Linked DNA regions of Ovis aries. The protein of the gene in region 1 purifies or fractionates together with the protein of each later gene. This does not show direct contact. Links are inferred from orthologs where the notes say so. Each region holds a gene or a part of one and is shown on either strand. Other genes may lie near its edges. The genes, in order: FBXL12 and STYX.

Region 1 (3,919 bases):
AAAGCCCCCAACAAACAAACAAAAACAATGTATTACCATTATAGGCTCTTGGGAGTGTGATTTAGTAAAAGCTATTATAGATATAATATATATATATACATATATATGTAATATATACTTTCTGTTTCTATTATAAATACAATCTATTTCTATATGATAAATCAAACCAGGAATTGGATTGATGTGTCAAAGGACATGCCTCATGCGAAGAGTTGACTCATTGGAAAAGACCCTGATGCTGGGAGGGATTGGGGGCGGGAGGAGAAAGGGATGACAGAGGATGAGATGGTTGGATGGCAACACCGACTCAATGCACATGAGTTTGGGTGAACTCCGGGCATTGGTGATGGACAGGGAGGCCTGGTGTGCTGCAATTCATGGGGTCGCAAAGAGTCGGACACGACTGAGCGACTGAAATGAACTGAACTGAACTGAATGTTTTTTAAATGAATTAATTGGAAAGTCATCAGATTAACAGTTATTACAGTGTAGGTCTTATTCGCCAATTATGTAGTTCTTTCCTCAAACAGTATGACAAAAATTCAACGAGAGTGTACTGCTTATAATTTTGAATAGCTTTTGCCAAATCACACTTTCAAGAGCCTATAATGGCAATACATGGTTCTTTGTTTGTTGGGGATTTTGTTTGTCTTGCCATGCTGTACAGCTTGTGGGATACTAGTATATGTTACATATATATGTATATATACTTTGGCCACCTGATGCAAAGAACTGACTCATTGGAAAAGACCCTGATGCTAGGAAAGATTGAAGGCAGGAGGAGAAGGGGACGACAGAGGATGAGATGGTTAGATGGCATCACCAACTCGATGGACATGAGTTTGAGCAAACTCTGGGAGTTGGTGAACAGGAAAGCCTGGTGTGCTGCCGTCCATGGGTTCCCAAAGAATCAGACACGACTGAGCGACTGAACTGAACTGAACTAATATATGTATATAAAAGAATGTTTAGCTCCAGTATTGTTTAGCTTACCTGGAAGCAACCTGAATGCTCATTAATACAGGAGTGTTTCAATAAATTTCACTGCCCTGATGACTTGGCAACTTTAAAAATGAGTGTTATATATGTGGAGCAAGTGTCAATTCAGGCTCTGTGGAGAACAGTTTGGCGCCATCAGTAAAAGTAAAAAATTCAGTGTCTTTTAACAAGCTATTTCACTTCTACAAATTTATTCTCATGGACAAAAAAGCACTATTAAGTAAAAAAATAGGGACTTCCCTCTCTGCCTAGAGCTCCGCTTTTGGTCCCGCCCTCAATCCCGCCCTTTAGGGCTCGGCATCGGTATTAGGAGCTCGGTCCTAACCTCCAGCCACGCCCCCAGTCTCGTTCTCGCCCTTAGCCCCGCCCCAGGCTCAGCGTCGCCCGAGCCACGCCTTTTTTGTTTGGCCCTCCTCTCCGGCCCCGCCCCCGAGCCGTGTTCCCACCTTAACCCCGCCCTTGACTTCGTAATCGCCTTAGCCACGCCTTCCAGGCTTGGTCCCAGTCCCCAGCCCCATCCTCTGTGCGGAGTTCTGATGCCGTGCTGGTCTGGCTGCCAGGTCCAGCCACGTCCCCTCAAGAGCAAAGCCGAAACCCCGCCAGCTACCGGAAACTGCGACCACCTCCCTGTCCGCACCCTCTCTTTCCCCCGCTTCTTAGGGCCCCCGCAGGGCGAGTCCCCGAGTTCCTTTAGACGGAAGCGGAAGTGCGTGTCAACGGGATCATGGCGACTTTTGCCGACTTGCCCGACTCGGTCCTGCTGGAGATCTTCTCTTACCTCCAGGTCCGGGATCGGATCCGAATCTCCAGGTGCGGCCGCCCCCTGCGGGAGGGAAGGGCCAGGCGGGGGGCGCACTAGGAGACGCACATCTGATCCTCGCGGGCCCGGGTCGTTCTAACGGCGGGTCCCCTCCCCCAGGGTCTGTCACCACTGGAAGAAGCTGGTGGACGACCGGTGGCTGTGGCGACACGTCGACCTGACGCTCTACACGGTATGCGGGTCTGGCCGGGCAGGCCTGGGCCGAGGTCGGGTTGGTCGGACTTCGAGGACCACGCCTCCAACCCTGTGTTTCGAGCGAGGCTCTCCCGAGTGCGTCCCGCCCGCGTCCCTTACTTGCTCTGCAGTGACCTCCAGGCCTCAGCTTCCCCATCTCCAGAATGGGTATAACCAAGGTCTTGCAGGAAAAGAGCTTACTGATGAGTTTTCATGGAGAAATTTTCTATAGTCGACTTAGTTCTAGAATTAATCTGAGTAGTCAACCAAATCATTTCAACTTTCTCCCGTTTGTGCTTTATTTATTTTTCTTTGTTGTTGTTCAGTCGCTAAGTTGCCCAACTCTTTGCAACCCTATGAACTACAGCACACCAGGCTCCCCTGTCCTTCACTGTTTCCCAGAGTCTGCTCAAATTCATGTCCACTGAGTTAGTGATGCTCTCTAACCGTCTCATCCTCTGCTGTCCCTTCTCCTTTTGCCTTCAATCTTTCCCAGCATCAGGTCTTTTCCAATGAGTTGACCCTTTGCATTTTTCTTTCTATTATGAACTATTTCAGATAGATATAGAAATGTATAGAGGATAATATCTGAAACTATGTACTCACCACCTAGATTTAATCTTTTTAAACCTTTGGCTTTATTCACTGCAGATCTTGTGAAATACACATACAAATGTTTCTATGCAAACATATGCATACAACATTTGCACATATGTTTCTTGCACTTTTGAAACCCTCCTCAGAGATAACCATGACTATGAAGTGGATTTGTATCCCTTCATGTTTTTATTTACTGCCTATGTATGTGCTTATCAGCAGTATACAGTATTGTTACTGTGTTTCTAAAATTGAGATAAAACTACTCTTTAGATAATTAAATGCTATTTTACTTATATTAATATATCCACCCATTAGCAACTTTATTCACACATCACTTTTGAGATTTACTCTAATTAGTACTTGTAAATCTAATTCATTCCTTTTAATTGCTGTTAAATGAATATACCACAGTTTGTTTCTCTATTTTCCTGTTGACAGATGGTTAGATTATTTCCAACTTTCTACCATCACAAACAGCTTTATAAGACCGTGTCTCAAACTTTATTGTACATATGAATCACCTGTTGGTGTTAGGTTGGTGTTGGTCACTCAGTCGTGTCCAACTTTTTGCAACCCCATGGATTATAGCCCGCCAGGCTCCTCTGTCCATGGGATTTCCTAGGCAAGAATACTGGAGTGGGTTGCTATTTCCTCCTCTGGGGGATCTTTCCGACCCAGTGCACTGATAGGCAGATTCTTTATCTCCAAGCCACCAGACTATTTTATTACGAAAACTTTCAAACGTATGTAATAGTTAAAAGAACAGAGAACATAGAGTTGCCCACCACTAATACTTAATACATTTGTTTTATCATCTCTTCATCCATCCATCCCTCTTTCCATCAAGCTTTTATTTTTCAAATGTTTATTTATTTTGTTTTCCCATTTTATTTTTTAAGTATGCTTCAAAATCAGTTACAGATGAGTCCACTTCTAAAACACTTTAGTACCCATAATAGAGATTAACTAGGACATTTGTTTTACATTTCTCTTTTTGAGGTTTTATTTTTTAAAATCACAGATCATGAATAATTCTTACAAAAATTGGAAGTAGTATAACTATGTATGGTGATAGATATTAACTAGACTTATTGTGATGATCATGTCATAATACATACAAGTATTGGTTCATTATGTTGTATGTATGCCTGAAACTAATATAGTGTTATATGTTAATTATATCTAAATTAAAACCAAACCAAGCCAAAAAAACATTGAAATATGGTCACAGATGAAGCAAGAGCCTTTGACAGTCATCCCCTGGTATCTCTACCCTTCCCCAGAATAACCACTATTATGTGTGGAATTTCCTTCTATAGCATTTTC
Region 2 (3,919 bases), on another chromosome or scaffold:
ATATGTAACATAGATGTGTGTGTGTGTGTGTGTGTATGAGAGAGAGAGCGAGAGAGAGAGTCTATATCTGTATATCCCTCCTTCCATTAAGTCTTTATTTATTTTTTGCCTTCTATGATTAGGCTGTATGATAGTTGATTGATTCAGTACATGCATATCCATACCTTTTTTTTAAGATTATGATTAAAAGTAATGTTTGCTATTAAATGTGACTTGGTTTTCTTGATTTTTGTAAGATGATAATTTCCTTTTGAGGTTTGTACACTCTTCTCAGAAAAACTTACACATATGTATACACACAATTTTGCATATATTAAAACTTGCAAGATGTATTATTTCCCAAGCTCACCCATGGACTCCATAGGTATCTATGGATACCAGGCTCAGAGTGTCTGATGTAGGGGATGTTGATGTCAGAAGTGTTCAAAACAAAAGTTCTGTTACCTATACACAATTCTTTCTCATATTATGTGGGAATTAAAGCTTTAACAAATTACAACAGGAAATCATCATTGGGCAGCAATTAAGATTATGTTATTAAAGGTGCAGTTAAAAAAAAGAAACTGTCTTCAGTTTAGTAAACACTGAAGAAATGAATATGACTCAGGTAATTATAAAATCATTCTTCTAATAAAAAACTTGCTAGCAGAGTAATATGTGCCTTTTTATGACTAAAAGAGAACCGTTTACAGATAGTGGTGAAGAAAATGGAGCCCTCAAACTAGCCAATTTAATCCTTAAAAAATTATTAAACAGTTCTATTTCTCTGTATATTTAGTGAGTTTCATAAATATGACTATAAAAAGTAATAGGATGTCAGGTTTAGGTCAAATATCAATGTGATCTTTTTTATTCTTTCCATTGTAATTTGCAGTTGTTGGGGCGCGGGGGGTCGTTTTTAAGAGTAAGTTTGGTGTACAAATCTTGAATGTTTTTAAGTGTGGGTTCCTCCACTAATCTTAATTTTCTTCATCTGTTTAAAAACAAAAAAGATACCATTATCTCCCTAGGCCCAGAGAAAGTGTTATATACCTGAACTTTATTAACAATATCGTATTAACTGATTCAAACTCCTTTTAAAAAGATATTGAAAGCCATATAGTTTATAGTTTACTAATACGTTGAAGTGTAATAAGCTTAAAATTAAAGGAAGAGACCTTCAGTATTATGTACAAATTAGTGAGCTATCAATTTTTCTAATTTAAGATTTTTTCTTGATATTTTCCAATTGTCATATTCCCAAGTATTGTTAAAAGTACACCGTTTCGGTTTGCTTAAAAGTGAGTGTTTCATTCTCTGTGTCGCATTACATAATTTTCAGGTGAACTCTTCATTACTCTTGGTTATAACCTCACCACAGATTGAGCAGGATTCTCAGGAAGGGAGAAAACTACAGTTTCCTTTCGTATGCCAGTTTCGTATGGGGGCTAGGATGTCTTCCCGGTTCTTACATCAAAGTAGGGATTTGCGTTGGGTCCAGAAAGGGCAGAGTTGTTTCAGATTATCCCACTGCCTTTCCCGGGACAGTCCGTTCTCCCTCCTGCGGCAGCCCCACCTCCTCCACATCCAGCGAGCTCCAGCCCGGGCGCCTCCGGGGCCCCGCCCCCCAGCGTCTGCGCGCTCGCGAAGGGGCGGGGCGGCGGCGCGCTGACACCTGGCGGCCGCGGGGGGGGCGGGCCGAAGGCAAGCGTAGGCTGGGATTGGCTGGGGCTGCGCGGGGACGGCGGGAGGGGGAAGGAGGGGAGACGGTTGTAGGGCTCGTGTTGGTGCTAGAGCTTGGGCGGCCTGAGGGGCGCGGAAGCACGGGGGGGAAGAAGACGGCAGCAGCATGGCGGCCGGATACGAGCCGCCCAACCCTCTTCCCGGCTGTCGCCGGAGTCGCCGGGACCCTATAGTCTGCGTGTGTTAGTTGTAAGCCCGCTGCCTCCCGGTCAGTCCTCCTGTCTACATTTCCTTTCACCGCCACTGCCTGCCCGAGGGTCGGCCGGCGGGTAACTCCCACTCCTACCCGGCCCCACCCACAAACCCGCGGGCCAGGACCATGGAGGACGTGAAGCTGGAGTTCCCCTCGCTCCCACAGTGCAAAGAAGACGCCGAGGTGAGTCTGGCAGTGACTAACACGCACAGGCCTCAGTGGCTCTTCGCCGAGGGGCGAACCCCAGGCCCCAACCGTCGCAGCCTTCACCTACTGGTAGCCCTGTTGCCTCCTGAGGGCGTCTCGGGACCCCGGGGCGGAGTCTCGCGCTCCGGGGCCGTCTGCCCCGACCACGGCTCCCGGAGTTCCTCTTCCCCTCCGGAGACGCCCGGGCCGGGTCTGGTCTGCTTACTTCAGTCCTTTTTCCCCCAGATTCGGCGTCGAGGACTTACTTGAAGTAAGATAACCCTTTTATTGCCAAAGCAATGCAAGGATATGTTTTTAATCTCATTTTGAGGGATAATCTTTGGTGTCATCGATTGACTTGTGGGACACATGAGCCCACGTGTGGAATTGATGTGGGGCCTGAACTTGGAAGTGTGCCTTCAACAAGTTTCCCGAAGTAGTTGGTTTGTTTTGGTTTGATTTGATTTTTGGTGTTTTTGAGGCAAACCGTGATCATCAGAGTGAAATGTCACGAAACTAGCTCATTTGAATCTGAAAACTTCAGTCAAAAAACTTGCCCTTTGGAGGGAAATTAATATGGGGAATAAAATTCTTTATAACTTGGTCTCCTGATTTCTAACTCGGGGTTTTTTTCATCCCACCTTACATCTTCCCTCCCTATCGTTTGTATTGCGTTTTCCCGCATCTATTCCTAGTTTAAAATGCTTTATGGTATTGGAGACTACTAAATTAGAAATTTTCTGAAGACAGAATGCGCTCTAGTAGTCTCAAGAAAGAAATGTTAAATTTCTGCTTTTAAGAGATCAGTTTATGGCAGGTATTCATTCTATTAAATGTCTTCTTTTGTGGTTGGTTCACCTTTTTTGATTTGGGGGATCATTTGCTTGTGATGATAATCCTTGAGAATTTCATGTTTTTAAGAGTAGATTCAAATAGGAAAAAAGAGAATTTAGGTTAGGTTAAGAATGATTTTATACTTTTTTCTTTTATATGGAATAATGTGAATGAAGAGTATGCTTATATATCCTTGAAATGATTCAGTAATTTCAACACTAGGCAACCTTAGAAATAATGTAGAGCTTTCCCACTTTTAAGATGAAGAAATTGTAGCTTACTAAGAATAAATGGTATTCCTAGTGCACCTTGGTGTCCTCGTTCTTAATTCATTGTCCTTTTAAATACACCTCAATTCTTCCCTGTTCTCGTCGTAATAGTTCTAGTTTAAAATGTTTACAGACTTTGCATCTAATCTTATTGAATGATAATACATCTTATCTTTGCAAAGATTGTAAAATTCTTAGGAACACAGCTTGCTTCTTTCCTGCTTGCTGCTTTTCTTGTGTTGGAGAGAAGTAATACTTAACCCTAGTACATAATGATATTCATATCATCTACTGAAAGCCAGATCGTTCCTTATTCTGTAGCATTGGATGTTTGTTATCTCTCAGTTACAAGGGACAGAAACCAGAGGAGCGTAAGTAACAAAGAAAAGAAGTAACTAAATCCAGAAAGTTTGGAGTGCAAACTGGTCTCAGACTTGACTGCAGCTACTACTAAGTGTTGTGTTGGAGAAGACTCTTGAGAGTCCCCTGGGCTGCAAGGAGATCCAACCAGTCCATTCTGAAGAAGATCAACCCTGGGATTTCTTTGGAAGGAATGATGCTAAAGCTGAAGCTCCAGTACTTTGGACACCTCATGCGAAGAGTTGACTCATTGGAAAAGACTCTGATGCTAGGAGGGATTGGGGGCAAGAGGAGAAGGGGACGACCGAGGATGAGATGTCTGGATGGCATCACGGACTCGATGGATGTGAGTCTG

What was found.
Region 2: the proteins of FBXL12 (region 1) and STYX purify together in Homo sapiens (affinity purification with mass spectrometry; 4 studies listed by BioGRID and IntAct, with this or other methods). This does not show direct contact. The link is inferred for Ovis aries from reciprocal best matches to the Homo sapiens genes FBXL12 and STYX.

Annotation. Positions count from the first base shown.
Region 1 is NC_056058.1:12,269,178-12,273,096, reverse strand, and holds the start of FBXL12 (F-box/LRR-repeat protein 12), read left to right. Parts: upstream 1-1,472; 5' UTR 1,473-1,723; coding exon 1,724-1,809; exon of another isoform or gene 1,810-1,918; coding exon 1,919-1,991; exon of another isoform or gene 1,992-1,993; coding exon of another isoform or gene 1,994-2,089; intron 2,090-3,919. UniProt on the Homo sapiens protein: Substrate-recognition component of the SCF (SKP1-CUL1-F-box protein)-type E3 ubiquitin ligase complex.
Region 2 is NC_056060.1:11,435,112-11,439,030, reverse strand, and holds the start of STYX (serine/threonine/tyrosine-interacting protein), read left to right. Parts: upstream 1-1,787; 5' UTR 1,788-2,041; coding exon 2,042-2,098; intron 2,099-2,347; exon of another isoform or gene 2,348-2,372; intron 2,373-3,919. UniProt on the Homo sapiens protein: Catalytically inactive phosphatase. Acts as a nuclear anchor for MAPK1/MAPK3 (ERK1/ERK2). Modulates cell-fate decisions and cell migration by spatiotemporal regulation of MAPK1/MAPK3 (ERK1/ERK2).